7 linked regions of the Cricetulus griseus genome follow. The protein of the gene in region 6 interacts with the protein of the main gene of each other region in a pairwise test. Links are inferred from orthologs where the notes say so. Each region holds a gene or a part of one and is shown on either strand. Other genes may lie near its edges. The genes, in order: Hnrnpc, Reep6, Dmc1, Trim54, Nkapd1, Sdcbp and Hsbp1.

Region 1 (3,500 bases), on a different chromosome or scaffold from region 6:
GGTCTCATCTTTTTTCACAGAGGCACTGCTCTGTTCTTCTTCAGACTTTTCATTCTTCATCTCTACTGGGGATGAGAAGGACAAGTCTGTCCAGGGGCAAGTGTTGCCCACAGGATATAGAGTTCTCATTAATCAAAGAATATAGTTTTCCAAACAAATTTAACCCCCCAACACCCCCAATATGCAAATATCTTAAAATAACCCAATTTTACTTGAAACAAGCACAAGACCATTACCTGCTTGTTTGCTCTGTTCCTTTTCAATTTTTTCTAGGCTTTCCAGAAGAGAATCCACTTTTTGTTTTATCTGAGTCAGCTCCTTCTTAATGGCCTGAAGGTCATCTCCTTTCACTGTAACAAACAAAAAGTTAGACTAGAATAAAACATAATTTACCAGTTGCTGAAAATGCCCTCCTTCCAGGGGCTAGGCTTTTGAATTGACTCTCAGCACTGCCGCAGGGGGAAATTCTTTGAGATACACGCACACACACATACTCGTGTAATGGAGACTTTTTTCTTTCCTATAATCCTTTGGAGCCTGTCCTGGAGCTCCCTCTATAGATCGGGCTGGCCTTGAACTCACAGAGATCTACTCCTCTGCCTCCTGAGTACTGGGTTTAGGCAAATGCCACCATGCCCAGCTTGGTTTATTTTTTGGCAGAAGGTTTCTCAGTACCCAATGCCATCCTCCAACTAGGAGATCCACCTGACTTTGCCTCCCAAGTGCTGGGAGAGAACAGGGTATGTGTGCCTGTTCCTGCCTCCCTAATATGGTGAATAAAGCTATCACTTTGCTGGTCCCATCATTCTTTTTGAGAATCTCTCCATGAAACAAGAACTCACTGATTTTGCATGGTTAGGTCCAGGGTTGTTCCCCTCTCGGCCTCCCCAGAGTTAGAATTCAAGGTAAGTAAGGTGTGCTCCACTTGGGATCCAAACTTATGTCCTCGCTCCTTGCAGGACCTTTACCAACTGAGCATCCCCTTGCCTCCCTCATCTCACTGTTTAAGTACACACACACACACACTATGAGTATCTCCAATTTAAAATAAACACAGGGCAGAAAAATAGCTAAGTGTCATTTTTGCACCCATGTCTCAAAACTGCAACTCCAGCTCCATGGGAATTAACATCTTCTCTGACATCAACAACTCCCCCACATACACATATGTAAAAATAATAGTAATAATAAAACATAACATTTGGAGGCAGGATGCACTGCACAAAAACACACCCTCACAAAAGATAAATAACACTTACACTTTCCAGACTTGGATGATGATCCCCGCTGTCCACTCTTTGAATTAAATCCACTTTTGCCCCTTCGAGAGGTGTTTCCAGAAACACGCTGGCGTTTAGAAGGCACCACAGCTCGAGCAATAGGAGGAGGAGGAGGAACACGTGCTGGGTAACTGTACATCCTAATGGGGAAAAAAAAATTTAAAGATTTACAATAAAGAAATCAAAATCAGGAATTAAGGAAATGTCTGGAGATCTACAAAGATGACACCAGCTAACAATCTAAGCAACAGAGGAGGCTATACCTTAAATGCCCTCCCCTGATAATGAGATTGATGACTGACTGATAGCGCTCTTCCAGCAGCTGATGGAAGTAGAAGCAGACACCCACAACTAATCACTGAACTGATCTGGAATCCAGTTGCAGTAAAGAATGAGTGATGGGCAAAGGGGTCCACACCAAGCTGGTGAAACCCACAGAAACAGCTGACCTGAACATGGGGAAGCTCTTGTTCCCCAGACTGATAGCTGGAATACCAGCATGGGACTGGTCCAGACCCCAGGAACATGGGTTTCAGTGAGGAAACCTCGGAAATCTACAGGACCTCCTGTAGTAGTTCAGTACTTATTCCTAGCATAGGTGTGGACTTTGGTAGCCCAATCCACATAGAGGGATACTCTTTGAGCATAGACACACGGGGGTCTATGTGTGAGATAGGCCTAGGCCCTATCTCAAAGGATAGGGTAGACTCTGATGACACCCTATGGATGGCCTCACCATCCAGGAGGAGCAGAAAGGATATGTGATAGGTAGGGTTTTAGTTGGGGAGGGTGGTAGGGGAGGGGGAAGGGAGCAGGAACTGGGATCTTGTTTCTAATTCAAATAAAAAAATCTGCAAAAAAAGAAAGCAAGAAAGGAAGCAAGGTTTACAACAGTGGCTTGTTTCTCTATGAGGAATATTCAACAGAATGTTATTTATAATGAACTGCCTTGCCTTTTCCAGCTCCACCATCTTAAACAATACTCCCATTTACTTTCAATTTCTGTGGGACAAGGAGTTTACTATGGCTACATCTTTTGGGTTTTAGGCTGCCTGAAAATCCCTGAAATTTATGTCGTAACACTCTGAATTAAAAAATAAATGTGGGGCTAGAGAAACTGGCTCAACAGTTAAGAGTACCAGATGCTCTTCCAGAGGTCCTGAATTCAATTCCCAGCAACCACATGGGGGCTCACAACCATCTGTTATGAGATCTGGTGCCCTCTTCTGGTGTGCAGATATACATGGAAGCAGAATGTTGTATACATAACAAATAAATAAAATCTTAAAAAAAAAAGACCTATTCCAAAAAAATAAAAAAATAAAATAAATAAAAAAAAAATGTGGTGTAGCATGCCATTAACACTGGCAGAGGCAGATAGATCTCTTTCAAGACCAACCTTGCTCTACTTACTGAGTCAGAACTACACAGTGAGACCCTGACTTGTAGGTTTAAGTTACTTACCTCCTTTATTTGGAACATTACACAAATCCACAAAGAAAAAGTTCATTTTGTACACACTTCCTACCTCCACTATTCATTAGTCATATTATAATAACTGTTCAGATCAATATTACATCACCGCACAAGTTCTGTTGGAAAGTACATTTCTAATTTGTTCCATCCATATGGCCATCCACTTATGGCTCAGAGTTAATATTCAAAGAACATGAAATTCATTCTAAAATGTTCACCTAGAATTCTCACATTATTCAATATGCTTGGTATAACTTCACATACATTTCCTATGATCACAAAGCAGAATGGTAAAACACAGAAAGATTAAGAAGGTCAATAAATAAAACCACATACAAATATTCACACACAAACATGCACAAACGCAAAAATGCTCAAAAATATCAATACTAGGGTTTTTTTTTCTTAAATATTTGTATCTGATTGCTGTGAGGAAGGTCAATACTTACAAAGCTACACAGAGAAACCCTGTCTCAAAAAAAGAAAACAGTAAGGAATGAAGAATGACTAGGGGGCACTTGGAGTTTCTGAACTGTTTTGTGTTTGCCTGGGAGATGGAGTGGGGTGGTGGTGGTGTCTATTTAGTTCTGGCTGTCTATCCTGGAGAAAACGGTAGAAATTCACCCAAGTCTGTCCCTAGCTGGTACTTAAGGCCTCTACATTCATGAAAATTCCATGCTATGGTGTTGAAGATGGCTCAGGGAATGAGAACACCCCTAGAGGACCCACATTCCAATCTCAGTA
Region 2 (4,246 bases), on a different chromosome or scaffold from region 6:
TTACTTAGTCTTATTTAAGAAAATATCAAAGCACGTGTATTCCCCTCTTAAATTTCCCAAATGACTTAGTCTCTCCCTCTCTATTAATTTATGGCCCCCCCTTGTTTTTTTGGTTTTTCAAGACAGGGTTTCTCTGTGTAGCTTTGGAGCCTATCCTGGAACTAGCTCTGGAGACCAGGCTGGCCTTGAACTCACAGAGATCCGCCTGCCTCTGCCTCCGGAGTGCTGAGATTAAAGGCATGTGCCACCAACGCCCGACAATTTACCCCCCTTTTCCTTTAAGTTTATTTTGGAAGCTTAACCACTTCCACTTTGAGCCATAAAGAAGGGCTGACAGATTTGGTTTTTCGAGGCAGGGTTTCTCTGTATTGTTTTGGAGGCTGTCCTGGAACTCGCTCTGTAGACCAGGCTGGCCTCGAACTCACAGAGATCTGCCTGCCTTTGCCTCTGGAGTTTAAAGGCGTGAGCCACCACCACCCAGCTCCATGTAAAACTTGTATCCGTTTCTAGGACCCTGAAAATCTGTAGCCTTGCACCTGGCTAGAGCCAGAGAATTGCTGATTGTGTGTGTGTAGAAACGGGAGGGTGGCAGGACAGGATAGCAGAACAATAAAGAACACATGAAGAACATGTGTGTCAGGTGGTGTGTAACATCTTTTACCCCTCCTTCGTTCCTGAGAAGCATTTCACCTTTGGAACCTTGGGTAGGGGCTGGAGCAGATCTCCTAGACCTTATAACTTCTGACACTCTTCCTGGGTCAGGACAGCCCTGGCCCCATCCCCATGTCCACAACTTCCACTACCTCCTAGTGTCTGTCTCCTCGTTTTACATTTGTATATTCTCTCTCCCTTCTGTGTCTCTCCTCTGTCTTTCCTTTCTCTCTGTGTGTCTGTATGTATGCGCACCACGGCATATATGGAGGTCAAAGGACAGCTACTGGGGCTGGAGAGATGGCTCAGTGGTTAAGAGCAAAGGCCGCTCTTGCAGAGGATCAGGGTTCAATTCCCAGCATCTACATGGCAGCTCACAACTACCTAAGACAAATTCCAAGTAAATCCTGTGCCCTCTTCGGACCCCCGAGGGCTCCTGCGTGCCTGTGGTGCATCATGGGTAAGCAAGCAGGAGAGACACTAATGACACACGTTAGTCAGAAGTAACAAGTAAGTCTTTTAAAAAGAAACCATGGAGTCAGTTTTCTCCTTCCACTATGTGGATGGTGGCGAGAGCTCAGCCAGACTGAGCAACCATCTTTTTTTTTTTTTTAAAGATCTTATTTATTATGTATACAACATTCTGCTTCCATATGTATCTGCACACCAGAAGAGGGCACCAGATCTCATAAGGGATAGTTGTGAACCACCATGTGGTTGCTGGGAATTGAACTCAGGACCTCTGGAAGAACAGTCAGTGCTCTTAACCTCTGAGCCATCTCTCCAGCCCCTGAGCAACCATCTTTACCCTCTGAGCCATCTCACTGTCTTCTGAGATAGGGTCTCACACAGCCAAAAATGACCTTGAAATCCTGATCCTCCTGCCACCAATGACAGGTGTGCGTTTTCACTATCGCTTTAAGAGCACTGGGATGGAACCCAGGACTGCCTGCTTGCTGAACAAGTGCTCCACCCACTGAGCCTGAGCCCCTGTCCACCTCCCTCTTGGTCCAACATCACCAAATCTATTGCCCTGCTGGCCTCCAGCAGTCAACCTGCTCCTCACTTAGCTACAACTAACAACCAAGAAAGAGCTCATGTGTTCTCTTCCACCCCAGGGCCTTTGCAAGTGCTGTTCTGCCAGCCCAAACCAGCTCAAGTCCCCTCTCCTTACACCTCCAGCTTGGTCTGATGAGCCACACTCCTGGCTAACCTGGCTTGACCTCTCTGTCCATCTACCCCATCCATAGCCTCTCATCTCTTGTTCCTTCTCTTTACCCCATCTATTTGACTTCCTTCTTGTCAAGATTTGGCCTCTGAAAGGCACTTGGTCCCTGTGGTGGTTTGAATGAGACTGGTCCCACAGGCTCTTATATTTGAATGCTCAGTCCCCAGTTGGTTTGGGGAAGTGTGGCCTTGTTGGAGAAGGTGTGTCACTGAGAGGTTCTCTCTGCCTCGTCCTTGTGGGTGAGGGTGAAAGTTCTCAGCCACTGCCCCAGTGTGCCAGTCTGCCTGTCTGCTGCCATACTCCTCGACATGGTTGGTGGTCATGGAATCACCCTCTGACGCTGTAAGCTCCAATAAACTCTTCTTTCTGTAGGTTGCCTTGGTCATGGCGTTTTTGTGTCAGCAATAGGACAGTTACTAAGACAGTTCCTGACACACAAAGTGAGCACCTCTTCAGTGTATCTTGTAAGCCTCTATGGCTTGCACACTCACAAATCCATACCATTCTTTGACTACTGTTTAGGGGCTGTTCCCTGTGAGGACTGATCTAATGTGGATGTTTCCAAATAACACAAAGCACCATGGGCTCCACTCCTGATTCGGCTGCACAGTCACTGATTCAGGTTCTCACCTTGGGCATTGTTTTCTAGTCTGATAAAATGGACCGATTCTCTTCCCTACGTCGTATGGCTTGGAGCAGGGAAGGACCAGTGTGTGAGAACCTCTTTCCTTGAGAAGCAGGGCAGGGGCCGTCAGTATGTGGCCCCCCAAGTGCCATGTTGTGGTAGGTGTCATGCTCATACATGACGTCCCCAAGCAGGCCCCACTTGACACAATAAGAATGACTGAAGGTGGCTGGTTGGCCTTAGGAGATGGCAGCCATGGGCTCACTCACCTTGGGCTCTTTCTTCAGGCGCAGACGGTGGCCCCAGTGGGGGGTCAGGGACTGCTGAGCCACACCCCGGTGCCGTAGATGGAAATAGTGGTCGTCGGGAAAGATCTGGGAATGTGATGGACAGGGGCATCGCTGGGACCTGGCTCCTTTGATACAGTCCCAAGGATGGAGTCCAGTTTCTGCGGCATTATATACCTCAACCAGGTGCCCAGTTGAGGGTCGCAGAATCCCAAATTGAATATGGAGGGGGCACGTAGACACGTTCGTTCTTCATATCCGGGGAGGTCTTGGGGACCCCCTCCCATCTGTCCGGGTCTGAGGTCGTCCAGGTCCCCACCCATGGCCCATCCATCCAGGTCCCACCCACCCACCTGTCCCAGGTTGATGAAGCCAAATTTACGTGCCAGGCGCTCAGCCTCCTGGTAACCTTTGGTCACCCGCACGGCCCAGCTGCTGACATAGATGGGGGCCCGGGGTGAGGCCCACCCCACAGCCAGGAGGGCCAAAGCCAAAGCCAGACCCAGCCACAGCGCAGTCGGGGAGGGCCGCATAGCGGGGGGCGGGGCGGGGGGCGGGGCCTCAGGAAGCCACCCCATCCCGGACACCATAGCAACCCCGAAGCTTTCAACTCCCAAGGGGCCTTGCGGTTCCCTCGTCCCCCATCCATGAGGGGTGGGACTATCCCACATGAAGAGACATCCACACGGACCTAAGCCTTCGGGAGCCTCAGTTTCTCCACTTGTACAAGTGCAACACCTTCTGGTCCTTAGGAGCAGGTTCAGGATCACAGGGATACCCCCAACCATTTATTTGGTCCCGCCCACTTTCTTCCACGCCCCTCCTTAGAGAATCAGCCCTGCCTCTCCACATCTTCCAACCAGCATCGTTTGCTTCCAGTGTAGTCCCGCCTCCTTTATGATCAACTCCGCCTTCTCTAGTCTGTCCAATCAGCGCTGGTCTTAACCTGGCCCCACCCACCTGTTTCTCAGCTAGTCCCACCCACCCTCATCGCTCTCCGTCAATAATCTACGGCTTGTCCAATCAGTACCGAGTCACTTCCTCGTGACCAATCAACGCACCGGCAGCCTGGCGCCCCGCCCCCTCCAGCCTCCCTGTGGCCCGGCGGGCCTTAGCCCTGGCCAGAGGGCGATGCGGCGGGGGAGACGGGGCAGGCCCCACCTCCTTTGTCCGCCTTGCCCTCCCATTGGCCAGAGCCAGGGGTCGGGGGCGGAGCCAGGGCCGGGGGCCGAAAGCAGCGTGTCGGGGGCGGGGCCTGGCCGCGCGCGGGAGGCGAAGTCTGTGCGCCGTAGGCTGGGCCGGTGCGCGAGGCTGCGGGTGTGCTTGAGTGGCCTGCCGCGGGCCCACCGCCATGGACGGTCTACGCCAGCGCTTCGAGCGTTTCCTAGAGCAGAAGAACGTAGCCACCGAAGCGCTCGGGGCTCTCGAAGCCAGGACCGGTGTAGAGAAGCGGTA
Region 3 (3,500 bases), about 220 Mb from region 6:
CTCAGCTCCTCTCTCCTTGACTCAGCATCTCCCTTTGCCCAAGGGACTCCCGGGTTCTGGTCTCAAGCCCAAACTCTCTCCTCAGAGACGTGTTCCACTACTGTCCTCCCCCCATCTCAGAGGCCTGGAGGCCCCATCCCGTCCCACCCCGCAGCATTCACTAGAGCTCTCGCCCCGCCCTTCACGTTGTGCTACATTTGCCCCGCCCACATCCCTCGCCCCGCCCATATTGGGGGCGTGCTCTAGACATCCTCGTTTGGCGCCAAATACATAGAGATTCGACGACTGGGTTGTCGGCCTCGGTGTTCGGGCTCCGAAATAGAACCTCGGCCCGGACTGGACCGGAAAGCCCGAGTGGGAATCGTAAGGGATTCACCTTGAAAATCCCGGGGAGACCGTGGGTTCGAGTGGGGGGTGAGTGGCGAAAAGAAGAAGCACGGGAAAATCTGAGGAAATCTCTTAAGCGTTGAGAAAGCGCGTCCTCTCCTTGCCCTTTCTGTGGTAATTTTTGGTTATTATTGGACTTGGCCAGGTGACTGTCACCTTTCACTCCGGCCCTGAGGCATTCCCTGCCTGCTGTAAATCAGTCCGACCTGAGTCTTGAAGGCCTCCTCGGGGTTACCAGGGAACTAGGGCCTGGAAAATGTAAGCCTCAGGGGCCTGACTGAACCGCCTGCTGAGAGGCCACGGGCTTCTGACCCCTTCGCTTTCCCCTGCCACACCCCGCCTGTCCCCTGAAACCTTTCCCTTGCCACTCCCCCCAGTCTCCTGACGCCCCTTCCCGTGCCACTCCCCCCCCCAGTCCCCTGAAACCCTCCTCCCTGCTGCTCCCCGACAGTCCCCCGAAACCTAGGCTAAGTGCCCTACTTCAGATCCCAGGGTCGGGGTGGGCACATCGGTGATCCCGGCAGAGGAAGGCAGAACTGAATTCCCAACCAGTGGGTCTAGCAGACCCTGTAGCTAAAGGAGAGAGAGGAATTTGCTGATTTGTTTTTTTCAGGAAGGATAGTCTGTGGAATTTGGGCTAACCGCTCATATTGTGGAGAGCGGGCATGGTGGTGCCTGTAGTCCCAGAACTGGGGAGATGGATGGGAGAGGAGAGTCAAAAGTTCCAAGCCAGCTTGGATGGCCTATGTAAAACACGTACACATACATAAAAAAAATCTATCTCAGGAGGCAGAGGCTCCAGGGCTTCAACACCTGACTTTGATATTAAACGAGGAAACAATAAAGCAAGAACAAGATTATTCATTTTATTGCAATGTACACCATCGTGTCTGTTGCTTCCCTGGTTTAAAAAAAAAAAACAAAACGAAATTGTCACTGGATATTGTTCCAGCTAGTTTTATGTCAATTTGATACCAGCTAGAGTCATCTGAAGGGAGAGAACCTCAATTGAGAAAATGTTCCTGCAAGATCCAGCTGTAGGGCATTTTCTCATTTTCTCAATCTCATTGATGATTGAGGGCCCAGCCGACTGTGGGTGGTGCTATCCCTGGACTGGTGGGTGCTAGATTCTATAAAACAGTCTGAGCAAGCCATGATGAGCAAGTCTGTAAGCAGCATCCCTCCATGGCCTCTGCATCAGCTCCTGCCTCCAACTTCATAGCCTGTTTGAGTTCCTGTCCTGACTTCCTTCAATGATGGACTACAAGTTCCTTCCCAACTTGATTTTTGGTCGTGGTGTTTCATAGCAGAAATAAAAACCCTAATTTAGACAGGTATTACCATATTTTTACAAAATTATGAAACTAGTAAATACTATGGAATATATAGTTTTGTGAAGCAAAAGATACATACATTTACCTGTGTAGCAATTCACAACCAGAAATCAAGAAGGTATTTATCAGGTATGAGAAAAAGAAAGTCCCCCCACCCCCCACCCCGTTTGTTTTGTTTTTTTTGTTTTTTGTTTTTTGTTTTTTTTTTTTTATTTTTCGAGACAGGGTTTCTCTGTATTGCTTTGGAGGTTGTCCTGGAACTCTCACTATAGACCAGGCTGGCCTTGAACTCACAGACATCACCTGCCTCTGCCTCCCAAGTGCTGGAATTAAAAGCGGACCTCACTAACACCTGATGAAAATCCTTTTACTTGAAAGATACAAGGAAGAATGATACAAGGGTTTTTTTTTTTTTTTTTGATTGTTTGTTTTTGAGGGGTGTTTGAGATGGGATTTCCTTCTGTAGCTTTGGAGTTTGTCCTGTAACTCTCTCTGTAGGCAGATCTCTGAGTTCAAGGCCAGCCAGGTCTACAGACGAGTTCCAGGACATCCAGTGCTACACAGAGAAACCCTGTCTCAAAACAATGACAACAGAAAAAAAAAGGGGGGGGGAAGGGAGGAAGGAAGGGGAAAAAAGCAAGCAAGCTATGGAGAACAAGTCTGTAAGCAGTATTTTTCCACAACCTGTGCTTCAGATCTTGCCTCCAGGTCACTGCCTTGAGTTCCTCCTTTGGCTTCCCTCAGTGATGAACTGTGACTAGGGTGTGTAAACCCTTTCTTCCCCAAGTTACTTTTGGTCAATGTTTTATCACAGCAATAAAAAGAAAATTAGGAAAACTACTTGTTTGTTTGTTTGTTTGTTTTGTTTTTCGAGACAGGGTTTCTCTGTAGCTTTGGAGGCTGTCCTGGCACTCACTCTGTAGACCAGGCTGGCCTCGAACTCACAGAGATACGCCTGCCTCTGCCTCCCGAGTGCTGGGATTAAAAGCGTGTGCCACCACTACCACCTGACTTTAAATAATATTTCTTATTTTCCAGAATTGATTATTTTTCTGCCATTTTCCTTTCAACATGAAAGAGGATCAAATTGTGCAGGAAGAATCAGGATTCCAAGATGAGGAGGTATAATAAGAATGTTGGAAGTTATGATGATGTTCAGTTTTCCATGAAAATCAAATTTCTTGTTTAGGAACTGAAAGTAGAAATAAGACATACATATAAATGTGTAACAATTTCTTTGGCAAAGGGTGCTAAGTTTAGCCACTTAGCAACTAGTATGAAAGTTTTTGTTGTTTGTTTTGCAATAGAAGAGATCCAACCCAATACTTCTTTCTGATAGGTAAATGCTCTTCCACTGGTTATATCTCCAGCCCCAAATGAAAGCAGATTAATAACAACTTACTGCTTCCTGTGCACACTGGTTCTGAAAAGGATATCAAGATTTGTATTAAATAAAATAGGTCAGATGGGGGCTGGAAAGATGGCTCAGCAGTTAGTTCCTCTTCCAGAGGAACAGGGTTTAATTCTCAGCACCCATATTGGTTTGTTTTCTAAATATGTAACAACTTGTTTGAAAAAAGTGATTGATCCTACTTCAGTGTTTAGAGAAATGGACCTGAAGTATTATGGAATGACTAGTGAATGAGTATTAGTCACTCCCCAAAATGTGAAACATTTATTTAGATATGAAGATATAAGATACATTCTTTCTATTTCATTTAGGAATCTTTTTTTCAAGACATTGACCTGTTACAGAAACATGGAATTGTGAGTAATTTT
Region 4 (4,204 bases), on a different chromosome or scaffold from region 6:
GTTGTGTGGGGGATAGAGAAAAAGATCAATGATTATTGCTCAGGCCTGGGATGAGGCTGCCATGGTCGGTAGAGTTGATCACAATGGAGCCAGGGGTCAAAGATGCCCAGTGGTGGTGCCTCTGTCAGTGTCCTGAGACTGCTCTGCAGACTGGTTCACTGGTGTTCCAGACAACTGCAGCATTCGGAATGTTTCCAGCCACATCTGTTCTCACACTTTTCCTTTTTTATATGTGTGTGTGTGTGTGTGTGTGTGTGTGTGTGTGTGTGTGTGTGTGTGTGTCTGCATGTGTGTGTCTGTGTAAATGGGTCTGCACATCTGTCTGTGCATGCCTGTGGAAGCCAGAAGAGGGCGCTGAGTCACTCGGAGTTGTGGTAAAGGGTGGTTGTGAGTGTTGGGGATCTGAACTCCACTCCTCATGAGACTGTCTTAACCATTGAGACATCTCCAGTCCACTACTGTCTCAGATTCTAAGCAAATTTAGCGTCCCTGAAATGGCTTCAGTGGTAGACCAGAATCACACACTCTCATGCCCTGATCATAAGGCAGGCCTGGGCTGGCACAGCAGCCATCTCTTGCCTCTTCAGCTGCTCTCCTAGGATGATATAACTGGCCATCCAAGGGCGATGTAGTTCAGTAAGCACAGTGCTTCTCTAGTACACAAAAGACCCCGAGTTGACGCCCAGAACCTCGTAAACTGGGAATAATGGTGTTCTCCCCTAATCCTAGCACTTTGGATGTAGAGTCAAGAGGATCAGGAGTTCAAGGTCATCCTTGATGACAGTGAATTCAAGGTTAACCTAATCTACTGAGAGCCTGTCTTTAATAAGGGAGAGGGAAGTTTGTGGCTAGATTGCTCAATAGGTAAAGGCATTGGTCACCAATTCTGATGACCTCAGTTTGATTTCTGTAACCCCCACACTGAAGAAAAAGAAGTGACTCCTGTCAGTGACCTGTGACCTCCACATATGCTCCATGTCATACCTACCCCTCCCTAAAGTAAATAAATGTAGTTGTTTTTTTAAGGCTGAACAAGAACAAATATGGACCAGACATATGGGACAAGAAGTTCTCTTTTGTAGGGTCTGGAGTTCCACTTCTGAATCCTGAGTCTCCAGGAGGAGGGTCAGGATCAATGCTCAGTATAAAAGGGAGAGACAGAAGTCTGTAGATCCGTCCAGACCATCCTTCCCACCCTGAGCCATGTGTGCTGTCTCTCCCATGTGCTAGTTTCTGTTAGGAAGAAGGTCTCAAGCCAGAACACGGAGAGCAGAGGTTGCAGGAACCTTCCCAGTGACAAGTGAGCCCCACACTGACCCACCACCCACTGAAAGCAGTGACACCCCTGCTGCTCTTCTTGCTCAAGAAAGCCACCAGCTGAGTGAGTCAGGGTCACTCAGTCCGGGACAGCTGTGGCTCGCCTTACATGAGCTAAATTGGGAACTGGAATGTCACACAAATGCCCCTTGTCTCCCTACCCCCACAGTAATATTAACCTCTCTAGCGAGCAAGGGACAAAGAGTACTGCCTGTAGAGTGAGCACGAGGGTGGTTTGGGGGAGCAAGAGAATTTCTCAGGGGGAGCTAAAGGGACAAGTTTGTGGAGACGGCTCTGAACAGGGAGTGCAGACAGAAGCGTCTGGAAATAGCCAGGGTGAGAGGGGCCGTTAGAGGGAGAGAAACAGGAAACATCACCCTTTCAAGAGGGAGCAAGATCAGGGATCCTAAGAATCCACAGACAGCCTAAAGTTTACAAGAAGTGTGCACAGGCAGCGAGAGAAGGCCAGAAACAGGGCCAAGGCAGGCACTAGAGCGCCAAGGGATGAACTTCACCGTGGGTTTCAAGCCGCTGCTAGGGGATGCACACAACATGGACAACCTGGAGAAGCAGCTCATCTGCCCCATCTGCCTGGAGATGTTCTCCAAGCCCGTGGTGATCCTGCCCTGCCAGCACAACCTGTGCCGCAAGTGTGCCAATGACGTCTTCCAGGTGGGCTTGGGGACAGCTGGGTCAGGTCTAGGAAGGGACTGGGTGGCAGGTCCCACAGGCGGGAGATGGTGACGCTGCCCCAACTCAGTGGCAGGAGAGTTGGAGGCTGTGGGATCCCAGAGGAAGCACGAGTCAGCAGTTGCCCAGAGCCTGGCAAGCACAGCCTGTGTGCACAGCGTCAGAAGGAGGACCCCAGGGAGACTGGCAGAAACTGGCAAGGAGGGTGGTCTTGCCTGGACTTTGTGGGAGCCTTACTAGATTTCATTTACTTTGAGGCTTTGTGGTTTTATTTATTTACTTTCTTTACACACCATAGATGAGATCAATGAAATATGAGGTATTAAAAAAATAATAGAGCCAGCAAGACAGTGAAGACACTTGCTACCAAAGCTGACAACCTGAACTTGATCCCCAAAACATAAAATTAAACCCTAGAATTAAAAATTTGTGACAAACCAGTGAGAAAGCCTATGATGCCAGCCGAGCTGTGTATATTTGAGATAGAGCTCCTCTCTCCATGAGGGAGCTGCTTAGACACAGTGGGCCAGGGAAGCAGAAGTTTTCCCCAGTTTCACACCTGTGAGCCCTCCTGACCTGGTGAAGAGGCCCATGGACCAACTGATACTCAGGTGATTTATGGACAGAGAGAAGGCAGAAGCAGAATTGTACTTCCCAGAAATGCCTGTGTAGCTGTGGTCATGAGGCCGGGCATAGCTAAGTTAAGTCACTGATATCATTCTGTCCACACATTTCAAAAATAAAAACAAAAAAGCTGGGCATGGTGATGCATGGCTGCAATCCCAGCCCTTGGGAGGTGGCAGCCGGAGAATGAGTTTAAGGCCAGCTTGGGCTATGTGAGACCCTGTCTAACCAACTAAATAAATGCATACATCATAATTCTTTATAAATTCATAGGCTTGCTTTCCTACCCTGTATCATTCATAGAGGTTCCAGTAGGCTGTAAACTAGATCAGAGGTCAGGGAGAGCGAAGGGACAGGACTCACGTGTACAGACATGAGACCTTGCAGATGAAGTAAAAACTGCAAGATCCGGGTGGCTTGGTGCAAATCTGTGACAGAAGCATCAGGAATAAGATTCCAGCCAGGAGCCAGGCTGTGTGACACATGCCTGTGGTTGAAACACCTAAGAGGACCACCACAACTAGAGACTAGCCTGTTATACATAACTCCCACAAACTAGAGGCTAGCCTGGTGTATGTAACCACCACAAACTAGAGACTAGTCTGGTCTATGTAACCCCCACAAACTAGTGGCTAGCCTGGTCTACATAACCACCACAAATAGAAGGTAGCTTGGTCTATGTAACCACCACAAACTAGAGGCTAGCCTGGTCTATGGAACAATTATACCAGTATATCCACTGGCTATGTATAGTAAGACCAAGTCTCAAAAATTAAATAAAAAAGTGGTAGGGCTGGAGAGATGGCTCAGTGGTTAAGAACTCTTGTTGCTCTCCCAAACAACTCAGTTTCCGTTCCCAGCATCCACATGATAGCTTACAACTGTCTAACTCCAGTTCCAGGGGACCTGATGCTCCCTTCTGAACCCTCCCCTCATGGGCATTATGCATGCAGGCAAAATACATACACATAAAATAAATCTCAAAAAGATTATTCCTGCTTTTCACAGACTATGAGGGAATGAGTTGAGCAGACATTTTCACACCTTTTTCCCTCCTCTCTTTGGTGCTATGGTTAATCCAGGGCATTGTGTGTGTTAAACATGCATTCTACCATTGCTCTACACCACAAGCCCCAACACAAGCTATTTTTTTAAAGATTTATTATGTATACACACACCAGAAGAGGGAACCAGATTTCATTATAGATGGCTGTGAGCCACCATGTGGTTGCTGGGAATTGAACTCAGGACCTCTGGAAGAGCAGCCAGTACTCCTAACCTCTGAGCCATCTCTCCAGCCCCAGCACAAGCTATTTTTAAAAAAATATTTCTTATTAGTGTGTGTGTGTATGTGTGTGTGTGTGTGCGCACAGAAGCCAGAAAAGGGTGTCAGATCCCCTGGAGCTGGAGCTGCAGTGTTTGTGATGTGGCAGCTGGGAACCAAACTCTGATGCTCTGAAAGAGCAGCATGTGTTCCAAATGGCCAGGCTGTCTCTCCAGTCTTGACACAAGTGGGTCTTAACTTCACTGAGAACATAGCCTTTTAGGTTCCTTGGCATAGCAGGCTTTCTTG
Region 5 (3,500 bases), on a different chromosome or scaffold from region 6:
ATGTCCACAGCTTCCTTTTTGTTTTTTTTCTGTTTTTTGTGGGACCGTTTTTTCTGCTTCTTTTTATGGGATTTCTTTGACTTCTTATGTTTTCGGGATTCCTGGGCAGATGCTTTCACCTGGGAAGATGTTTTTTCCCCATTGGTAATATCTTGCTGGTCACTACTAAGGAAAAGTAAAGACAGAACTTTTATGGAAGAAAGAAAATGTATATTTATATTTACTATTCTGCATTAAATTATTAACATCTGAACTTTAAATCAGAATTTTAAGCTCGGTATGGTGGTACACAGTTATAATCCCAGTACTCAAAAAGTAGATCTTCCAAGTTTGAGGACAGCCTGCTCTACATAGCAAGTTCTAGGCCCCCAGGACTACAAAAAGAGACTGTCTCAAAAAAACAAAAAAAAACCAAAAACAAAAAAAACAAATAGTACTGGTGAGGTTTCTATTTTATTACTCTCAAAAATGTTTCATTTCCTCATCTTTAAAATCCTAATTTGACCTAACCATACTGGTATAAACCTGTAATTCCAATGTTTAGAAGGTAGGGGCAGTAGGGCCAGGAGTTCAAGGCCACCTTAAGCTATAGAAAATCCTGTCGTCCCCTCCCACCCCCCTCCAAAAAAAAAATACACCTCCTGATCTGCTATGCTGAGTTACATATGAAATACTAAATACCATTGTGCTCCCTTATCCATAGTTTCATTATCTGATTCCTGTCACCTATGGTAAATTCCAGAAACAATTTGTAAGATTTTAATTGCATGTCATACAAATTCCTCACAGTACTACTGTCCCACCTAGGACCTGAGTCATTCCTGTGTCTAGTTACCAACCCTTTGGTCATTTACTAGCCATCTGGGTTATTAGATCCACTGTCTGGTATAGCTTATCTTATTTAACAATGACCCTAAAACACAAGCATGATGCTAACTAACAATTAGGATGTGGCAGAGAAAAGCATGAAGATATGTCCTTAAAGTGAAAAAAAAAAAAAAAAGATTTTAAAAGGTATTGTGTGTATAAGAAAGGAATAGAATATGGGAGCTAGACAGACAAGACGATATAAAATATCCAAGGTTTCAAGTACCTTTAAACATGTTCACTACAGATGATAGTGAACAATTAGTTTCTAAAGCTCTCAGGCTTGCAGAATACCAAACTTCAATCAGGAAAGGTAAATAAGAATTGCTTCCCAACAAGATTTCATTATGTCCCAGGCTGGCTTCAAACTCCCGGACTCAAGCAATCCTCCTGCCTCAGGCTCCTGAGCAGCTGGGACTACAGCCATATACTACCATTCCAGGTTCTAGTTATATTTTCAATGACAAATAAATCTTTTGTAAATATTAGGAACTCTACTTATGGCGTAATTTTGCATTCATCTTAGGTGTTTGGTTTTGTTTCTCTAGTAAGTGTATTTACCTACCTGTCTGTTTCAAACTCTTCAGGATACAACTCTTTATATCCACTGTGACCCCATCTGTAAAATGACATCATAATACATATATTTTTATGAAGCAATGCATATCATTTTTGGAAATTAAAACACAATTAGATTTTGGACTGCATGAATACACACATACAGAGAACAAAGGAAAAGGGGGCAAACTAAAAACACACCTCAGTAACTGCTCTATGTTCTATACTATCATCTCAGACACAGGATGTTGTTCATTGAAAGGTTGTATCTGTTCTTTAAGAGACACTAAAGAACTCTCCTCAGCGGTGAAGTCCTTTTCCCAAACTACTTTATAATGTTATCTACACTGGGACTTTCTAAAGATAGTTACTGAGAAGTGATTCATATGACAAGAGAGTTGTCCTTTTAAAGTGCAGAGCCTATGGCCCAAGGCAACCATTAATCTTTCTGTCTCTATGGATTATCCATTCTGGACATACCACATAACAAAATCTTAAGAGTATGGCTTTTGTAAAGTTTTCAAGGTTATGCATATAGACTTAGTACAGATCCCTTTTACCACTAAGTTCTATTCCACTATATGGAAAGCCTACATTCTGTTTATGCATTCATCAGTCACAGCCATTTGGATTTTCACTTCTTAGTCATTATAAATACTGCTGCTATGCACACTCACAAATGTTTATGGGGTCAATCTGTTTTGAAGAATTATTTATACTTATGTGTAAGACTGTCTTGTCTGCCTGTATATATGTGCATCACATGCATGTATGATGCCCAAAGAGCTCAGAAGAGGGTGTCAAATCCCCTGAAATTGGAGTTACGGACACTTATAAGTTGCCTTGTAGGTACTGGGAACAAAACATGGGTCCCCTGCAAGAGCATCAAGTGTTCTTAACCACTAAGCCATTACTCCAACCCTAGGACAATAATATCAAGAAATACATATTCTTGGGCCAAATATCACTAGGGGTAATAAGAAATAGTCACAAACCTGTCTGGCATGTTGGATTCATAATCATATAACTTCTTGTTCCAGGATTTAGCCTTAAGAAAATCATCATCTAGGGCCCCAGAAATTTCATTCTTTGTCCTCCAGTAGTCTCTGTGACTTTCTTCATCAAAACCATCACTTCTCATCCGACTATAAATGAAAAAAAGACAAACGTTTAGAATTAAAAGCAATCTGTGATGCCACTTTATAGAGCATTATAAACAAAACTCATGGAACATGCTGACACTACCTTTGCACCACATAACATTGATATCAGTCATACTCAGCCAGTAATACATCAAAGTCTACATACTCCATGGACACATTCCCTTGAAATTCCTTTTTCTTCTAATGATTTCTCTAGGTAGCTTTAAAAATCAGGTTATGACCCATCTCACATACCTCCTTCCTGTGCTTAAGGGCACATGAGGCTCTAGAGATATTCCTAATTATTCATGCATCCTACACCTCCCATCGAGCAGTCAAGCCTGAATATATATGGAACTTATTTTGTAAACCAGGTTGGCCTTGAACTCAGAGATCCACCTGCTTCTGCCTCCTAAGTACTGGGATTAATTTGGGTGTGATTACCTAGTCACACCCAAATTATTACAAAGGAACTATGAAAGCCCATTGACTTGGACGAAGAGAGTGAGTAAATGTGGCTTTTAGTAAGAAGAGTTGGCTCAGTGGTTAAGAATACTTGTTGGTCTTGCAGAGGATGCTAATTCAAATCCCAGAACCATGTCAGGAGCTCACAACTGCCTATTAACTCCAACTTCAGGGCATCTAATGATCTCTTCTGACCCCTGCAGACACCAACAGACACAGACACACATAATGAATAAAATAAATACTTTTTTAAAAAAAGGTCTAATGCCGGTTGTGGTGGCACACACTGGTAGTATTTGCTGAAGGAGGCAGAGGCAGGAAGATCTCTGTGAGTTCAAGGCCAGCCTGGTCTCCAGAGGGAGTGCCAAGATAGGCTCCAAAGCTACACAGAGAAAACCTGTCTCGAAAAACCAAAAAAGTCTAATAGAAAGACTAAAGAAAACAGTATGACTGACCGAATTAATAAGA
Region 6 (4,010 bases):
CCATAACATTTTCAAAATTGAGATGTGAAAACTAACATTTTCAATGTCAAATGTCCTAAGGTCAGTCGGCTCCCAGAAGTATTGAAAGATTCAATGAATTAGTTCAAAGCCATCTTGTCATTAATGCAAAGCATGGTGGACTGTAAAGAAAAATGTAATGATAACTGAAAAGTATGGTGGATTGTAAAGAAAAATGTAGTAACTCCAAAGCATAGTGGACTGTAAAGAAATGTATTGATGGGCTGGAGAAATGGCTCAGCCATTAAAGGCTAGGCTCACAACCAAAAATATAAGAAATGTATTGATAATTCCACAAAGTAGTGTGTTCTGTTTTCTCAACTTAACAGAAGGGTATCTTGATTAGCAAGTCATTCAAATTTTGAGACTAAGCAAGGCTACTGTCCCATGTATAGTGTAAGAGCCATAATAAATGATTAGAAACAGCACTTACTGTAACAAAATACCCATGTGGCAATTTGTGGTATGTCATGTCTATTGAAGTATGAAATTAAAGTTTCAGTCTAACCCAGCACTTACTCTTACAGGCCCTTTGAGCGGACAATTACTATGCATAAGGACAGCAGTGGACATGTTGGTTTTATCTTTAAAAGTGGAAAAATCACATCCATAGTGAAAGATAGTTCTGCTGCCAGAAATGGCCTTCTCACTGATCATCACATCTGTGAGATAAACGGGCAGAACGTCATTGGCTTGAAGGTAAGAAGCACACTGGACCCTAGTTTTGGAGCCATTTTATTTTAGATAACATTGAGGTGGTGTGACTTTCCTGATGACCCTCAAACACTGAAACTTGGGAGATAAATGTAGGAGCTATGGTCTTAGGCCATCACAGTAACTCTGGGATGTTACCTGGAATTATCTTTTCCATACCAAGGTCACTAAACTATGATTCTATGATCTCTCTCTAGCTAGAATTCTGTGGAGAAATGGGCAGGGACATTTTTAGACATTGTGAATGGATGAATGTCCCAATATTTTTCAGTTCAGAAATACAGGAAAGGAATAAGTCTTGGTATATATTAATACTTTGATTTTTATAGATTTTGATCTATAAAGTTTTTATGGGCATAGCCCTGGCTGCCCAGGAACTCACTATGTAGGCCATGCTGTTCTCTAACTCACATGTACCTGCTTCTGCAGTGCTGGGTCTAAGGCACGTGAAACCCTGCTCGGCATATAAATCTTTGAATTGAGACTACCTTAAGATCTCAAGGTTTTAAGTAAGACTTTAACTCATAAATTCTGGAATACAGTTGACTGTGTTTGGGGCAAGCTCTCCATCTTCAGGTAAGGGAAGGATTGTGTTCAGTGCCTTCAACTTTGCTACCAGGTTGAAACACACATGTCTGTAAGATTAAAACTAAAATTCAGACATACCAGGGATTGGGACTCCAGAGATACTAGCATGACAACAGCAAATATAGTGTGACTCTTACCTAACAATTACAGTTTTATGTTTATTAAATAAAGCTTCAGTGAAATTAAATTCTGTTATGTTTCACTAGGATTCTCAGATTGCAGACATACTGTCAACAGCTGGGACTGTAGTTACCATTACAATCATGCCTGCTTTTATCTTTGAACATATTATTAAACGGTAAGTGGACAGCTCTACTTATGCTTGCTGTCTCCTGACATAAATGTAAATACTTCTTGAAGCCTGCAGTTCTGCTTATTAGAAATCAGTGGTTATGATGGGGGTTTCTTGCCTGTGAGATATTGAGTTGCTGTTGCTATTTGCAGTATGTCTCAGGAGGTAGAGGGGTGCATGGTGCTTGCTTTCTGTCCCCCAGAACCAAGAAGTATAAAGTCCATGCAAGCTGACAAGGGCCAGCAAGGGGTGATTCTGACTGTCTTTGTAGTTGGTACTGTTTCTTGGAAACCCTTCATTCAGAATCCTGATAGAAAGTGAGATTTCAAAGATACATAAACCTAACCTTTGTAATGGAATCTTTGTAATTTTGGCTTCTGGGTAGAATGCAGCTAAGTACCCTCGGAAGGGAAAATGTTGTGAGCATTTGACTGTTTTATAGTCTTTTTTTCTTTTTTTAACCATTGGTAGGTTCCTTCTCCACCTTTTCTTCTAACTCCATAGCCTTGCTGTTTTATTCTAATTAAACTGCCAGTCTTAAGGTAAATGACTTGCACCTTCTTTAGCATGTCGACCCTGGTGCAGATGTTTAGTTTTCCTGGACAGTCTTAGACAACTCAGTTATCAGTTCTGTAGCTCTGAGCTCATTTAAAGACCTTTAGACAATAGTGCTACACTGGAATTGGGGTTGTCTTGGGTTAAAATGGCATCTTTGAAAATAAGATATGAGTTATATGATGAGTTGGCTCTCTTGTAGGATGGCACCAAGCATTATGAAAAGCCTGATGGATCACACCATTCCCGAGGTTTAGAAACTTTGAACAACGCATTACAGCTGAATGTTTCCAGTTTTCTTCTTCGGCAACTTCTATATTTTGCATATGAAGCTTTCCGGGAGCCAGGGAGAATATGCTGCATGGGGACCTGTCTATCTTCCATCATGGCTGGGAACCTCACTCTATCTGATGTCTTCTGCAGATTTTAAGATAGTTGTAGCCTTATCCTGGTTTTACAGATGTGAAACTTACTGACTTTCCTAGAATCGTTTCTTTACTGGAAACCTGATGTTTTTATAAGCCATTGTGGTTAGGATGACTGGTGTAGGCTTAGCTGTGTGATAAGTGGTCACCTTTGTCCTAGATGAAGCACAGTGCTAGTCGTGTGCTTCACTTCTGTGGCACACCTGGATTTTTAGAACATCAGCATAGTACATTGAGGATGATTGCCTTTGGTAGTTACTTTTAAGTTTTCTCTGTATGAGTGTGTAAAATTCCAGTTAATCAACTCTGGTTTCATTCCACAAAAGCATTATATATTGTGTGTACTTTGCAAAAGACTGTCATGATTGTCACTAAATTTTAACTACCTTCACTTAATATGCTTCAACTGTCGCCTTAACTACAGCAAGCATTTAGAATAAAAGCCAAAATAGAATTATTGCTGCCTTCTGAGACCTGAGTGTTAGCTCTCTATTAAGCTGGTACCTGCCAGCCCCAAGCAGCTCACTGCTAAGCAGAGCTGCCTAGTTGTATGGAGATTTTCTAGTCACTGCATAAAGGAAACGCCTAAAAGTTGCCGTATCGCTTTCTGAAAAATAAATCGCTATATATTTCATGCAAACATTGTTATAGAAACAGAACAAATTTGGGGGTCGCCTTTTCACTTGTAGATTATGTGGGCAATATTAATTTGGCATTTGAATCCTAATATTATGTAATTTAGTCACTTTGGGGTCATCTTAGAATGTTTCCCTAGCCATTTTAATTTGTTCTATTTTCTGATTCCGTCCTCTAAACAAAAATGACAATGACACTTTATCTTAATTTTTTTTTCTTCTTGGTTTATGCCTATCCTAGTAATATCCTGATACTATCCTATTAAATGTATAAAAATGTTAACTTTTAGTCTGTCTGTTATTCCTTCATTCTTCTCACATCTGGGGTCTCTGAGAACAGTCCTGGAGCTAACACTTGTCTGAGATCCTTAGATGGCCAGGCCTGTACACTTGTAGGTGGGGAGAACCTGGTGAGGCTGCTGCATCTCTAGTGAAAGCAGAGAGCACCCACATGTATTCAATGACACTTAAAACTGACTCTGAAGTTTCTGCCCATGAAAGAAGCACACTTTGGCCCTTAAATCAGAGCTAACGAAACATGCTCTGCCCCTGACCAACTCAGCACAAAAAACAACCAATCCCCGAGCATGAAATCCAAACAATCTTTAACCTTGCCCAAGCTCAGGGATTGGTCTGCTTTGGGAATTTTTCCTCTTAACTACACTGTAACAATGCTCTCAAGAGTACAGAACATTTGTAATTATGTGGTTGCTGTTCAGAGATTAAATGAGAAAATCATTGCTGTTTCTATATAGCTTCCCATGTTGGAAACTTACATTTCCC
Region 7 (4,283 bases), on a different chromosome or scaffold from region 6:
AGGGTGTTGGATCCTCTGGAGGTGGAATTGCAGACAGTGGTGAGTGAGGTCTCATGTGACTGCTGGGAACTGAACTTGGGTCTTCCACAGGGCATACGTTGCTTTTAACACCTGAGCCATCTCTCCAGACCCTTATTTGGACATCTTTATTCAAAATTCTTTGAATCCACTTCCTATTTTCATTCCTGTCTTTGTGTTTCCCTGTCAGTTGAACATCTTCAATCATACAATCTTTCAGTTCTTGACTCATGGGGGTTTTCTGTCACAACATAGCACAATCCCCTAGAGCTTCCAAGATCCACTCGACACTTTGCAGCTCTTCTCTAAATAGGACTGAAGACGACACAGCACATACCAAGCACTGATGCGCATCTCATAGTTAAACAACCCAATGTATTGTTTATGTATCTTGACCCTCCCAACCCCCATCTAGTCTCCTGGAATTCAGAACAACCTATTTCAGTCACTGAAAAGCTGGTTCAAGGCCAAGCCCAGAAATAACCTTTAATCCCAGAATCTAGGAGGCAGAGGCAGAAGCAGGTGGGTCTCTATGAACCTGAGGCCATCCTGGTCTATACAGTAAGTTCCAGGCCAGGCAGCCAGGGTTTCATAGCATGTCAAAATAAAAAAAATAAAAACTGAGGGCCCTTCCTCCACAAACACAAGTGAAGCTACAAAGAAATTCACTACATTAAATGGTTTTGTGCTTGTCATCTGATATCTGAAATGATTCAGTGGAAATTTAACTCAGTCTAGAGTAAAGGAGTCGAGTCCATGATAAAAGTCACAAACGTCTCTAGAATTTATAATAGATATTTATGTAAGTGACCTGAATTCTCTGCTGTTTGTAAAAGAAAACAATGAAATAATCTTCCAGTGGCCAGGGTAGGGCACCAAAACACATGCCCAGAAATGACATCACCTGGTGGTCTTCAGTTGCCAGCTCACCAGCCAGAGACATGTCCAAGTTCCAGGTGTGTCCTATGCAGGGCCCAGGATATGAGTGAGGACCGTCATAACTTACAATTAAAACATCAAAGGACTATAGATGGCTCAGCGGTTAAGAGCACTTTTTCTTCTCGGAAAGGACCTAGGTTTGATTCCGAGTACCCGCAAGGTGGCAGGTCTTGTCTGTAACTCCAGTCCCAAGGGATATGATGCTTTCTTTTGGTCTCCCATAGCATTAGGTTTGCATGAGGTGAATATGCAAGCAAAACACTCATATATAAATATTTAAATGACTTCTGTCTTTTATCAGCAATTTCACTCTTCTTTAAGTGTGAACATTATTATGTGTATAGCCTGGACATGCCCAGCAGTGATTCAGTTTTAAGTAATGAAACTTGGAAATGTAAATTCTACCTAAGGAATTAGTTTGGCATGAGCAGTTTCAAAACATGGACTTTCTAGGTGGGGTGCAGAGATACTGGCTGGGAAAAGACACAGGTGAAATCTATCAACGACATCAACCTTACACTGATGGCCACTTTGTGTGCTTTGCGTCAGCAAACTGGTGCCCTCCCTTACCTTCAACTTTTCTGTGCAGTAGCAATCTTGTTTTCCCCTTCCAGTTCTTCCACACCAGCCTGGGTCATGAGGTCAGCGATATTTTTCTCCAGATCGTCAATGCGACTGCTCATGTCATCGAGTGGCACAGTTAAGGAGCCCACACACCAATACCCCACTCTGTCCCCATCCTCCAGGCCCCTGAAACCTGGCTTAAGCAGCAGCTGCTTTCCCTTTCTTCTGGCTACAGTGACCGCCTGGCGGTCTGAGAGGTACAGGGGACCCAGGTAAGTTACTTTCCTAAACCCCGGTTTCCTCATTCATTAATCCCAGAGGACTCTATCCCATGGGTAAAGAGAGGAAGAGTGCTCAGTGAGCACTCCCAGCCGACATAGCCTAGCTCCTTTACTGGTGTTCTGGAGGACCCCCAACAGGGAACTTGGGTAGCTTGGCCACGTCTCTGGCTCTTGGCGCAGTCCTCAGGAACACAGTATAGCCAAGATCAGTGAAGAAATTTCCAAGTGCGGCTGGAGAGATAGCTCAGGGTTATGAGCATTTGAGGCTCTTGCAGAGGGCCTGAGTGTGGTTCCCAGTACCCACACCCGGCAGCTCACAACCACCTGTAACTCCAGCTACAGGGGATCCAATGCCTTTAGTCTCTTCACTCACTCACGCGCACCCATAATATACATAATTAAAAATAATGACTACCTGAAGTCGGTTTGCAAACCTCCCGCTTATCCCCACCATTAAGAAGCTGCCTCCGAAGCAAAAGGATATTCCTTCCAATGATCTGATCCGACATGATCTGAAACTTGTCTTGCATCTGCTGCAAGAGCGTCTCCACCTACGAGAAACCAGAACAAGTCCGCCGATTCCAGCTTATTCCGAGACCATTTTCCTGGGAGGAAGGGGAGGCCAGGGGGTAGGGGAGTCCCGGCAGGTGGGCGAGACCTTTAGCGAGGCCCTGCCAGGTCGGGTTTGGTATTCCCGCGGGTCAGGTCGTGAGGGTCCGTGCCGGGGCCGCAGGAGGGCGAGCCCCGCAGGTGCGCGGGCCGAGGCCGCTGGCCACACCCCACGCCAGGGCCGAGAGCGGCCGCGGAGTGTCGGAACCCAGGTGAGCCTGACGCTTACCACCAAGGTGATGTCCTGCATGGTCTTGGGGTCCGTCTCGGCCATCTCCCCGGTGCCCAGCTTGGCGGCGATGTCTCGGAACCGTCACCTACACTTCGGTTTCTTGGCGCAGACGCCCCCCAAGCCACCAGTTCTCGCGACAACACAGTCACGGGACCGCGAGGCATTGTGGGCGTTGTAGTTCCCGTCACGTACCGGAAGGACCTGGGAAACTTCAGAGCGTCCTGAGGACAGGCTCCGCCTCCCCGGTTTTAGCTCTGCCTCCATCCCCGCCCCAGCTCTACCCTGAATGCGGCAGGGAGCGGAAGCGGAGAGAAAACCGGAAGTGGGCAAAGGTTAACGGGGATTAACGTTTTTTTTTTTTTTTTTCCCTGTGGATGTAGTCAGGCCTTGCGGGTGAAGGCGCTTGCCACCAAATCTGATTCTGGAGTTCGATCTTGCATGTTGGAAGAAGAGCCCCAGCTTTCACAAATTGACCTCTGCCCAGCACACATGTCCTGTGACATACACATATACATATAATTTACAAAATAAATAAATGTAATTTTAAAAAATCCCTTAGAGTTGGTAAGAGTGCACTAACTGGATGTCTGCTCTTCACCAAGACCTATTCTTGAAGACATGGGCCAACAAGTATGTGAGGCCCGATATCCTACTTACTTGGGAGGGATCCTGAGTTCAAGGTGTGACTGAGAAAACTTACTGAGACTCTGTCTCAGAAACAAAACAAAACAAAGCAAAGACCTAACAAGCAGAAAGAGGGTGGAATGGAATGTATTCAGTGGCAAAACACTTGCCTAGCACAAAGAGACCAGCACTGTAGAAACAAAACAAAACAAGAAAGCTCAGGCTACCACCCCCATCCTGGATTGGCACATAACACAGTATACCCAGTTTGCCAGGTATTACTGTTGAAGGGACCGCCCCCCCCCCCCCCATTTGGGCAGCCATGACAGTAATATGTGCTCGCTATGACCTTGTCTTAGTCACTAGAGGTCAGACGCCTGCCTTGTGACAAGGAACCAATCAGAAGTTAGCTGGTGGTGCTGTGCTTTACGACCCTGGGTGTACTTTACGGGCAAGCACACAGCAATGACGTACAAAGCATAGCAACCATCCTGGGAGGGCCTATGGGCCATAACAACCAGTTGGCCAATCAACACAGGGCAAGCCCTCCAAGCCTGGAGGGCACACCAATCCTGAGCCTGTGCGTACCCCTAGACACTCCCCTTACGCTGCCTTACAAGATCTCTCGGGAGCCCCTAGGAGCTGTCTTTGCTAGCCATCCGCCATGGCGGGTGGGTGAAAGACTGGAGCTAACACGGGGTTAGCTCGTTAAAACAATAAAGCCTCATGCAGTTTGCAGCAAGCTCTCGAATCCGCCTGGTGATTGGGGTGATCGTGGTCGTGGCCTGGGACCCCGGATACCTGAGTTTTCCGGGGGTCTAACACTGTGATGGAAACTAACCCGGCTTCTTTCAACCATATGGCTGCCTAATGCTAAGTGGTGCAGGTCTCCATTTGTGTACAAGAGGGGGCAGTGTCAGGGGTGAACCGGGACGTTTGTGTCTCAGGCAGCTCTGAGTTGGGAGGGCCCTGGTTCAAATACTACTTCCCAGGTTCCATAGAGAGATGTGCTGAGA

Evidence for each region.
Region 1: the proteins of Sdcbp (region 6) and Hnrnpc interact in binary tests that used the Homo sapiens proteins (3 or more experiments, as listed by UniProt). The two-hybrid records come from large-scale screens. The link is inferred for Cricetulus griseus from reciprocal best matches to the Homo sapiens genes SDCBP and HNRNPC.
Region 2: the proteins of Sdcbp (region 6) and Reep6 interact in binary tests that used the Homo sapiens proteins (3 or more experiments, as listed by UniProt). The two-hybrid records come from large-scale screens. The link is inferred for Cricetulus griseus from reciprocal best matches to the Homo sapiens genes SDCBP and REEP6.
Region 3: the proteins of Sdcbp (region 6) and Dmc1 interact in binary tests that used the Homo sapiens proteins (3 or more experiments, as listed by UniProt). The two-hybrid records come from large-scale screens. The link is inferred for Cricetulus griseus from reciprocal best matches to the Homo sapiens genes SDCBP and DMC1.
Region 4: the proteins of Sdcbp (region 6) and Trim54 interact in binary tests that used the Homo sapiens proteins (3 or more experiments, as listed by UniProt). The two-hybrid records come from large-scale screens. The link is inferred for Cricetulus griseus from reciprocal best matches to the Homo sapiens genes SDCBP and TRIM54.
Region 5: the proteins of Sdcbp (region 6) and Nkapd1 interact in binary tests that used the Homo sapiens proteins (3 or more experiments, as listed by UniProt). The two-hybrid records come from large-scale screens. The link is inferred for Cricetulus griseus from reciprocal best matches to the Homo sapiens genes SDCBP and NKAPD1.
Region 7: the proteins of Sdcbp (region 6) and Hsbp1 interact in binary tests that used the Homo sapiens proteins (3 or more experiments, as listed by UniProt). The two-hybrid records come from large-scale screens. The link is inferred for Cricetulus griseus from reciprocal best matches to the Homo sapiens genes SDCBP and HSBP1.

What each region holds. Positions count from the first base shown.
Region 1 is NW_023276807.1:207,149,203-207,152,702, forward strand, and holds part of Hnrnpc (heterogeneous nuclear ribonucleoproteins C1/C2), read right to left. Parts: intron 1,421-3,500; coding exon 1,260-1,420; intron 351-1,259; coding exon 237-350; intron 87-236; coding exon 1-86. UniProt on the Homo sapiens protein: Binds pre-mRNA and nucleates the assembly of 40S hnRNP particles. Interacts with poly-U tracts in the 3'-UTR or 5'-UTR of mRNA and modulates the stability and the level of translation of bound mRNA molecules. Single HNRNPC tetramers bind 230-240 nucleotides.
Region 2 is NC_048598.1:101,122,340-101,126,585, forward strand, and holds the start of Reep6 (receptor expression-enhancing protein 6), read left to right. Parts: upstream 1-1,446; 5' UTR 1,447-2,773; coding exon of another isoform or gene 2,774-2,878; 5' UTR 2,879-3,144; coding exon of another isoform or gene 3,145-3,324; 5' UTR 3,325-4,142; coding exon 4,143-4,246. Other genes in the region: Pcsk4 (proprotein convertase subtilisin/kexin type 4), read right to left, coding at 2,774-2,878, 3,145-3,324. UniProt on the Homo sapiens protein: Required for correct function and survival of retinal photoreceptors. Required for retinal development.
Region 3 is NC_048595.1:376,764,621-376,768,120, reverse strand, and holds part of Dmc1 (meiotic recombination protein DMC1/LIM15 homolog), read left to right. Parts: intron 1-246; coding exon 247-363; intron 364-3,443; coding exon 3,444-3,488; intron 3,489-3,500. UniProt on the Homo sapiens protein: Participates in meiotic recombination, specifically in homologous strand assimilation, which is required for the resolution of meiotic double-strand breaks.
Region 4 is NC_048600.1:13,268,719-13,272,922, reverse strand, and holds the start of Trim54 (tripartite motif-containing protein 54), read left to right. Parts: upstream 1-1,404; 5' UTR 1,405-1,821; coding exon 1,822-1,989; intron 1,990-4,204. UniProt on the Homo sapiens protein: May bind and stabilize microtubules during myotubes formation.
Region 5 is NC_048597.1:162,375,026-162,378,525, forward strand, and holds part of Nkapd1 (uncharacterized protein NKAPD1), read right to left. Parts: intron 2,571-3,500; coding exon 2,421-2,570; intron 1,487-2,420; coding exon 1,433-1,486; intron 166-1,432; coding exon 1-165.
Region 6 is NC_048595.1:154,128,407-154,132,416, reverse strand, and holds the end of Sdcbp (syntenin-1), read left to right. Parts: intron 1-545; coding exon 546-717; intron 718-1,526; coding exon 1,527-1,618; intron 1,619-2,369; coding exon 2,370-2,424; 3' UTR 2,425-3,510; downstream 3,511-4,010. UniProt on the Homo sapiens protein: Multifunctional adapter protein involved in diverse array of functions including trafficking of transmembrane proteins, neuro and immunomodulation, exosome biogenesis, and tumorigenesis.
Region 7 is NC_048596.1:195,967,547-195,971,829, reverse strand, and holds the start of Hsbp1 (heat shock factor-binding protein 1), read right to left. Parts: upstream 2,801-4,283; 5' UTR 2,686-2,800; coding exon 2,641-2,685; intron 2,354-2,640; coding exon 2,287-2,353; intron 1,649-2,286; coding exon 1,530-1,648; 3' UTR 1,528-1,529; intron 1-1,527. UniProt on the Homo sapiens protein: Negative regulator of the heat shock response. Negatively affects HSF1 DNA-binding activity. May have a role in the suppression of the activation of the stress response during the aging process.